2 linked regions of the Zea mays genome follow. The protein of the gene in region 1 binds, or shares a complex with, the protein of each later gene. Links are inferred from orthologs where the notes say so. Each region holds a gene or a part of one and is shown on either strand. Other genes may lie near its edges.

The links.
Region 2: Vacuolar sorting protein 39 (region 1) and Vacuolar protein sorting-associated protein 41 homolog share a complex: the UniProt entries of both Arabidopsis thaliana proteins name them as parts of the homotypic fusion and vacuole protein sorting (HOPS) complex. The link is inferred for Zea mays from reciprocal best matches to the Arabidopsis thaliana genes EMB2754 and VPS41.

The regions. Positions count from the first base shown.
Region 1 is NC_050096.1:275,113,347-275,117,165, reverse strand, and holds part of Vacuolar sorting protein 39, read left to right. Parts: intron 1-2,465; coding exon 2,466-2,886; intron 2,887-3,819. UniProt on the Arabidopsis thaliana protein: Essential protein required during embryogenesis. Believed to act in part as a component of the putative HOPS endosomal tethering complex. HOPS is required for the central vacuole formation.
Region 2 is NC_050097.1:2,312,883-2,317,291, forward strand, and holds the start of Vacuolar protein sorting-associated protein 41 homolog, read left to right. Parts: upstream 1-1,518; 5' UTR 1,519-1,578; coding exon 1,579-1,875; intron 1,876-2,389; coding exon 2,390-2,659; intron 2,660-2,745; coding exon 2,746-2,925; intron 2,926-3,348; coding exon 3,349-3,612; intron 3,613-3,733; coding exon 3,734-3,866; intron 3,867-3,964; coding exon 3,965-4,055; intron 4,056-4,381; coding exon 4,382-4,409. UniProt on the Arabidopsis thaliana protein: Required for vacuolar assembly and vacuolar traffic.

The sequences.
Region 1 (3,819 bases):
TGGAGTTTCTTTTGCAGGCTGGGCCATTGGCTATATATATGCCGTGTAATCAGACTTGGAGGAATAAGCAAGATCAATTATCCTAAAGTTGCTTCTCTCCCTCAAATCTCTCAAGACGTCGGTGAGAACTCACGGCGAAGGCCTGGAGCGCGGCTACGAGTTACGTAGTCGCGGTCCGGCGACGTTGAGCGTTGAGGCGCTTGACACACCACCACCCCCACTTCCACAAATTATCCTTCCCCACGTTCGATGGGAAAGATGGTCCCGTGAGGAAGGTGATTGCGCGGGCGAGTGCCTGCAAGGTGTCTGCGGCGGTGCGGCTCCAGGCTGCCGCACGTGACCTCCTAGTGTGTCGGCGGCTGCAAGAGGTGCACCGACAGATGCTCGAGACAGCCTTGGTGGCGGTCGACCTCAGCACAAGGGGACGCGGCCTCACCCTGTCGGATGGCCATCAGCAACCGCTTTGGGCCGTTGTCTCCAAGCGCGAGCATGGTGCGTGTCCCGCGGGCGACGAACTCCAATTCTACGGCAACGGCGGTAGGGAAGGCGCTCCCCTCCTTGTCATCGACGAGGGCGCACTGCCTAGCGCCACCACATTCCTCTACCGGCCGCCACGAGGGCACCTCCGCTAGTCATTGTTGCGACCCATTCCAGGTGGCCATCCACGTGTTCCCCTTTCGTCCAGATGGCGTCCATGGGATCCAGGTGGCTGCACACATGCATATCCAATGCGCGGAGGTGTCCGCCTTATCTTAAGGCTTCAAAAATAAGGAGTCACAGCCTAATTCAGGCAAGGTTACAATAAGCGCTAGGCGTTAGGCGGGCGTTAGGCCACTGTTTAGCGCCTAGAGAGCTTAGGCGTAGATTAATCGTGCTTAAGCGTTTGTAGGAATATACAATATAATATATATATTTGCACAGAAAAAACAGTTTTAGTTAGGAATTAGGGGTACTTACCTGGAATAATGAATAAAAGTATAGAACAAAAGAGATGGAGTAGAGCAAGAGCAGAGGGAGAGGGAGAGGAAGAGGGAGAGGGAGAGCACGCCTGGATAGCTAGGGAAAAGGAGCAGAGAGGCGCTGACCCCGGTGGCCTGGACGACTTGACCAGAAGGGGAAGAGGACACCGATGGTGGCGGCCCTGGACGGCTGGGGAAGAGGACCAGTCTGACAGCGGCCCTGTTTTCCTCCTCTTCCATGCAACAGCAGCTGCAGCTCCCAGCCTGTTTCACTCTCTCCCGGGCAACAGCAGCTCCCACCTCTTTCCCTCCTATTCACTTTCTATTCCCGCGCAGCAGCTTTTTTCTATTCCCGCGCAGCAGCTTCCGTGCTCACCTTTTCCCCGCGCGCCGAACCCCGCTTCCACACGCCTCCTTTCCGCCTCAGCGCGCATAGCGCAAATCACGCGCCGCCTACACGCGCCCACCGCGGAAACCACCGCCCAGGGCCTAAGCGCAGCGCTAACATGCCGCTTAGCGTCTAATCGTGATTAGGCGGGCGCTTAATCGCGCTTTTTTGAACATTGAATTCAGGTTCGGAATAACAAAATTAGCTGAGATGTAAAAGGCTTACTTTTAAGTGTTAGGTTTTTGTCTAGGGGAGTCATCATTAGCGTCATCTTTAGGTTGCAGCTCGAGGACGAGCTGCATGTCCAAGTGGGGTGTAATGTTAAAGGAGTCAAGGGCCTATTGGCCTTAGCCCATTAGGGTTAATTAGTCGCTTACGTAGGGGCCAAGTAAGACCTCTCTATATAATGAGAGATGTATCAATCTATGATCAAGCAAGAGATTAGAAGGAAATCCCTTCTCTCTTGCCATACGTGGGGAAAAAATGCGGCCGGCCTCCCCAACACATCTACTGTTCGTACACTGTTCATCCTCGCGGCACTGTTCATCCAGAGGTGCTGTTCATCAGCGTGAACAGTGCCACGCCTCTCCCAACCAGCAGCCCTAACCCTAGAACGACGGCACCCAAGCGCTGGGGTCCTAGTCCTAGACCCCAAACCTACCACTCGTACTACTTCCGTAACCCTAGTTCCAACGTATATATCCTTTTCGTCTTTCGTCTAGCTGTTCCAAGCCTGTCAGAGCATGATATTCTGAATTTTCCATGAACATTCTATCAGCCAATACTTAACACTCAATAAATGGAAAAAATATGGTTGAAACCTTAATATTTCTGTCAACATAAATTCTCAATTTTGGTCACTCATGGAAATGCATATTCTATAGTTCTTTGCATTTCTGTAAACTATACCACATCAAAGTGAACAACTATGAACAGTGGTTGAAAAATTAAATGCTGTCCGTTTCAAAGGGAATTCGTCGTTAATCTCAGCTACTAATTCATCAAATCTACTAGAAGCCAACATCATATTATTTTGTTATTATGCATTTGATTCTATTAACCTAATTAAGTGACATCTTAATATCTTATCCTTTATTCCTTTTGATTTTGTGGATTAGATATGGACACTTTTTGTTCGATAACGGGAGTTATGAGGAGGCAATGGAACAGTTTTCAGATTCACATGTGGACATTACTTACGTGTTATCTCTGTACCCATCTATTGTTCTGCCTCAAACAAATATTATAGGTGATCATGACAAGCTGCTGGACATGCCAGAATTAGCAAGGGAATCCTCCGATGTGACAGATGAGATGGAATCATACTCTTTACAGCTTCAAGAACCAGATGATAAATCTCCATTGGAGGTAAAGAAAATGAGTCACAATGCTCTAGCTGCCCTTGTGAAGTATTTGCAGAAGAAAAGAAGTGGCATAATTGAGAGAGCGACGGCTGAAGTAACAGAGGAGGTGGTCTCTGGAGCTGTTCACCACAGCTTAAAATTATCTGAGCCATATAAGTCAAAGAAGCTGAGCAAGGTAGTGACTTTTCAAGTTCTGTTTTGGTCTTGCTGCAAGTTAACTAGTAGAAATTGGTGACAGATGTGGAATTGCATGGATCAAAAACTAATAATATATGCACAGGTGATGGAGTCTCTATCTGAGTAGGTTTGGTGGCTTGACCGCTTGAGTGAGTCTTGAGTAGCACTACTCAGGTCCTAGGTTTGACTCTCCATGGGATCAAATTTTCAAGCTACGGCTAAAAAAATCCCCTCATCCATTCCACACCAAAACGTAGGTCCAAGGTCCGGCCCTGGTCATGGTCGTTCTCATATGGGCTATAATGCCGTTGTGTATGGGTGGAGCAGGGGTCCGGGATTTTTTCTCGACCTGCATGAAGGTCTTCTTAATAGTTAATACAATGCAAGAGGGCTGTTTTACCCCCCACAGGTCGAGTTTTTTTAAACATATACATAGTAGAACGAACTTGAAACTGACTAGATATTAACATGACCTGATTTTTGGAGTATAAGTATATCCCATTTCATATATTTATATGAGACCGAGAATGATTCTTGACACTAGAATTGGTGTTTGCTTCAATGCTATTTGTTTATTGACCTTTGAACTGCAGCTTGCCTTTTCTACAACCAAATTCATTTTAGGATCCCTAGACAGAAAATTGTTTGGTTCTTTTTTTGACAGAAGTGTGGAAGTTTCGTTCCTTGGTCTCTAGATTGGTTTGTTGGGGGTGTTTCAGTGTCTTGTACAGTTAGGTCAGGGTAAATTTAGAATGGAAGAAAGTAAGCGGCTATATGGGTTCGTTTATGTAGGAGTTAAACTGAGTTAAACTGGAATACTTAGAAATATTAAGGACATATGGTAACCTGAGCTAGAAACTGGGCAACTTTCAATTATCTTGGGACTTGGTCCATAATGGATTGCATTTCTGGAATATAGCTGTAGATTTTG
Region 2 (4,409 bases), on another chromosome or scaffold:
TATGCTAGAACAAAGCAAAGAGTTCTTAGAATAATGTTTGAGATTAATTTTGTTTCTTTAAAGGATCAGGTGACTAATAGAGTTACTAGAGCTTTATTTGTAAAATTATTATAAAATTTTAAACGCAATCTAAATCTAGATAAGATTAAAACTGAGAGAGGTTGTTAGGAGACCTTGTATAGGATGAGACATTAAAATTGGATAGAGTTTGTGTAAATCTAACCTTTTTACGTCACGTGAGCTAAACCTATGTGGCTAAAATTTTAGAGTGGAGCTGGCAAAGTGAAGCAGTTGTAAACATCCTTTATAACACTCATGCTACCATACATACTTAAAAGTGCCTTTTTTTCCCCTAAAAGCCTGGTTAATACTTCTTTAACTAAAGATATCTTAGAGATGTAAACAATCACTTATTTTGTAGTACTAGACTAAATAAGTGACTGCTCTGTGTCTCTGGGCCAGGGACGGGGCCGGCCATTACGGACATGTGGTGTCATCTCATTGATCCCGTGGACAAGAGCCGTCATCGGTTGCATATGAAAAGCTGGGGAAAAAAAATAAAAGGAGGCTTGATGGCGCTGTTGCCTTCAGTCCAAACAGGTCGGTGCCTCCATGACGCCTTCTGCTGGTCGTTGTCCACGTCCGCCGTCCAGAACTCTGGATCGCCAGCGAGACGCCGAAAGGAAAAGGTAGATAGCACGCGTGCGTGAGCCGTGACTCGGTCGGAGGCGATCCGATGACGCTGCTCCCTTCGCGCAGGCTCATCTCGATCCATCGGCAGCGGCCAGTCAGACAAAGATTTAAATAGCCTGTCAAGCTAAATTTTAACGACCTAATAACAAAATAGCTTTTCAAAGGATTAGCTATTTTATTTGTCAAGCTATCCGATCCTCTAAATTAACTCCATCACTAGCTAAATTTAACTAGCAACTCTCGATAGCCAAGCTAAATTACATGTTAGAGAGTCTATTAAATAAAATGTTATATATAGAGTTTAATCTTTATAGAGATAAATAAAGAGTCAAAATTAAAGAGTTTTTTTTGAGGTGCTCTCACTGTTACTAACAGCCAGGCGAAACTGAAATAACCGTCTGGATCAGTGCTTTTACTACTTGTCTGCCGTCATCGGTGAGGAAACCACGTCAACGGCGAGACGATGCCACGATGGCATGACATTATTAATTGCTGGGCTTCCAATCCGATCCACCGAGCCAGAAGCTCCAGGCGGCCCACGTGTGCCCACTCCTTCGCGGTCCAGGTCCAGCACTCGAAACCGATGGAGACCCGACCGCGGACCCGGCCAGCGCCGAGCAGCCACACCCACACCACGACCACGAGCCGAAGGCCCGCACCCGGCGCGTGGCTCTCCTGGGTGGCTAGCCTGGCTCGATCACCAGCCCAGCGGCCCAGCCGGACCCGGCTCGGCCGCACTCGATGCACTGGACTAGTTTTTACAGGCGTTCACGACACATCAATGGACGAGCACCGAGGCAAAGGCAGTTCTTACACGCGGGCCCTCGGCTTCACCGGAAATCGCCTCGGGACGGGAGATCTCGCGGGCCGGCCGGCGGCGAGAGGATGTCCACCGCGCCCGCGCGGCGCGCCCGCCCGCCGCTGCCGCTGCAGAACGGCGCGGAGGGCGACGACGAGCGCGAGGAGGAGGTTGATGAGGAGGAAGTGGGCGATGACGAAGCGGAGGAGGAGGAGGACGACGACGACGAGGAGGAGCCGCGGCTCAAGTACCAGCGGCTAGGCGGGAGCGTGCCGGCGATCCTCTCCACCGACGCCGCGGCCGCCATCGCCGTCGCCGACCGCATGGTCGCGCTCGGCACTCACAACGGCACGCTCCACATCCTCGACTTCCAGGGCAACCAGGTACCCTTTTCGTCTCGCCACAGGGCGCTCTCTCCCTGCGGAATTGGGGCTTGTGATGGGAACGGGCGAAGGTGTGGCGTTGAGGGAGACGGGATCCTGGGGCATTGGGACTGCTCTTGGAGCTTCTTCCTCTATACTTGCTGGGTCAAAACTACTTTTGCCACTTCAACAATAGAGTTTGGACGGATTTATTAATCCGAAACTGACCTGGCTGTAGACGCTCACACGGTTGCTGGAGGCTCTGCTAGCTTCCTTCGTCACTCGCAGCTTGAAATCCTGTGATGCATATAGGTCTGGTAACAAGGATCACGCCACTGTAGTATTGTTCTGATTGAAATTCCCCGGACCTATGGTTGGGGAAGTTGTGGAGCCAAAGAATGACACGTTGATATGCAAAACTAAAGCACGTGATCAAATGACACTGTCACTCCATGTAGATTCAATCTGTAGGAATGCTAAACTTGCATGCTGATACGCATCAGTTTCATCTATTTGTGCTTTACGTTTTGTGTAGGTGAAAGAAATTGCTGCGCACACAGCAACTATCAACGACATAAGCTTTGACGCAGACGGTGAATATATAGGCAGCTGCTCGGATGATGGCACAGTGGCAATAAACAGCCTCTTCACCGATGAAAAGCTAAAGTTTGAGTACCATCGCCCCATGAAGGCAATTGCTCTAGACCCTAATTATGCCCGGAACTATAGAAGATTTGCTACTGGTGGTTTAGCAGGCCAAGTACTTGTGCTGACAAAGAAGTCTTGGGGAGGTTACCATAAGAAGGTAAGTTTGGTTTCCTTAGGATAATAGATCTGATGCATCCAGTGACCTCTAATGGCTAGCACATCTCTTGCTTGATGGTTATGTAGGTTTTGCGTGATGGTGAAGGGCCAATCCATTCGATGAAGTGGAGGGCGGATCTTCTTGCTTGGGCTAATGATGCAGGGGTCAAAGTGCATGATATGAGAACAGACAAAGGGATCGCATTCATAGAGAGACCAAAAGGCATTCATCGACCAGAGTTCTTGCTTCCCCACCTAGTCTGGCAGGTAATTATATCTTTATATCTGTATATGGATTATACATACTCGACTGGTACATTTCAATTTTGTTAGCATATGAGTAAAATATTAATAGAGGGGTGCAAAAGCAAAGGATTTTGTGAAGTGGAAAGTTTTGGTGATATGTGCAATAAGTCAAATATTTGCTCTTAACTTTAGTATGCGGAAGACAGGATATTAGCCAGGGGCACAAACACAAAGAAACACACATGATGCTTCTATTTCTAATGAATTGACATACTTTCAATCGTGTAAAAGGAGCATGATAGCCATTTTATTTTCTGGCTGATATGGAATCATTCATGTTATTAGCGTGTCTGACTCAAGGACTGACTTCTAAATTTATTATTTTCTAGCTTATATTTTGATTTAAAAAGTACATGTTATGTTAACTGATCTATACATGCTTAGGATGATACAGTCTTAGTTGTTGGATGGGGAACAAGTGTCAAGATTGCAGCGATCCGAACAGATCTATCTCAGGGACTCAATGGCCTACAAAGAACTATCACCACAGCTAGTTCTGAGAAGTATGTGGACATTGTGGGCTCATTCCAAACAGGCTATCACATATCTGGGGTTGCTCCATTTGGTGACCTTTTAGTCGTACTTGCCTATATTCCTGATGAGGATGAAAAAGAGAAAACATTTAGTACTTCTGTTACTTCACGACAGGTAATCATCACATCTCTGAATGTCTGTTACATCTGCATTGCATACCATGTACCTTTGCTTCTAAAATAATGCTTCTGACTTCTGAGATTGATGTTCCTGTTATGTTTCTAAAATTTTGCAGGGAACTGCACAGCGTCCAGAAATACATCTTGTATCATGGAAAAATGATGAGCTTACTACAGATGCTCTGCCTATTCATGGTTATGAGCATTACAAGGCAAAGGACTATGCTCTTGCACATGCACCTTTCTCAGGTTTAATTGATTGTGCTCTAACATCAGTGGCATTTCTTTTCTTATTGATGAGAACTTTTCTAATGAAGGAACCCTGATTCTCTTGTCCTGTCATTCAGGAAGTAGCAATGCAGGTGGACAGTGGGCTGCTGGTGATGAACCTTTGTATTACATTGTGTCTCCTAAGGACATAGTCGTTGCAAAGCCAAGGTTTGTTACAAAGAAAGAGCTCATATCAACCCCCAATTACAATATCTAATTTTATCTGATTGTCACTTTGAGGATATTATATTAATTGAAATTTAATGAGTGACCTCCAGCAAACTTTAGAAAGAATCGATCTTTTCCATACATTTTCTGGAGGACACAAAGTGACTAAACCATGCTTGTCAGTGAATATACACAATTTTGTAGTGTCCAGCAGCAAAAATCAGTTTCCATTACCTTTCAGTAAAAGTAAATCGTTTTGACTGTCCTGTGGCAAAATTTTCCCAAAAATAATCCCATGATTAATATAGTGTGCACCTTCTGATTAGAGATGCTGAAGATCATATTGCTTGGCTT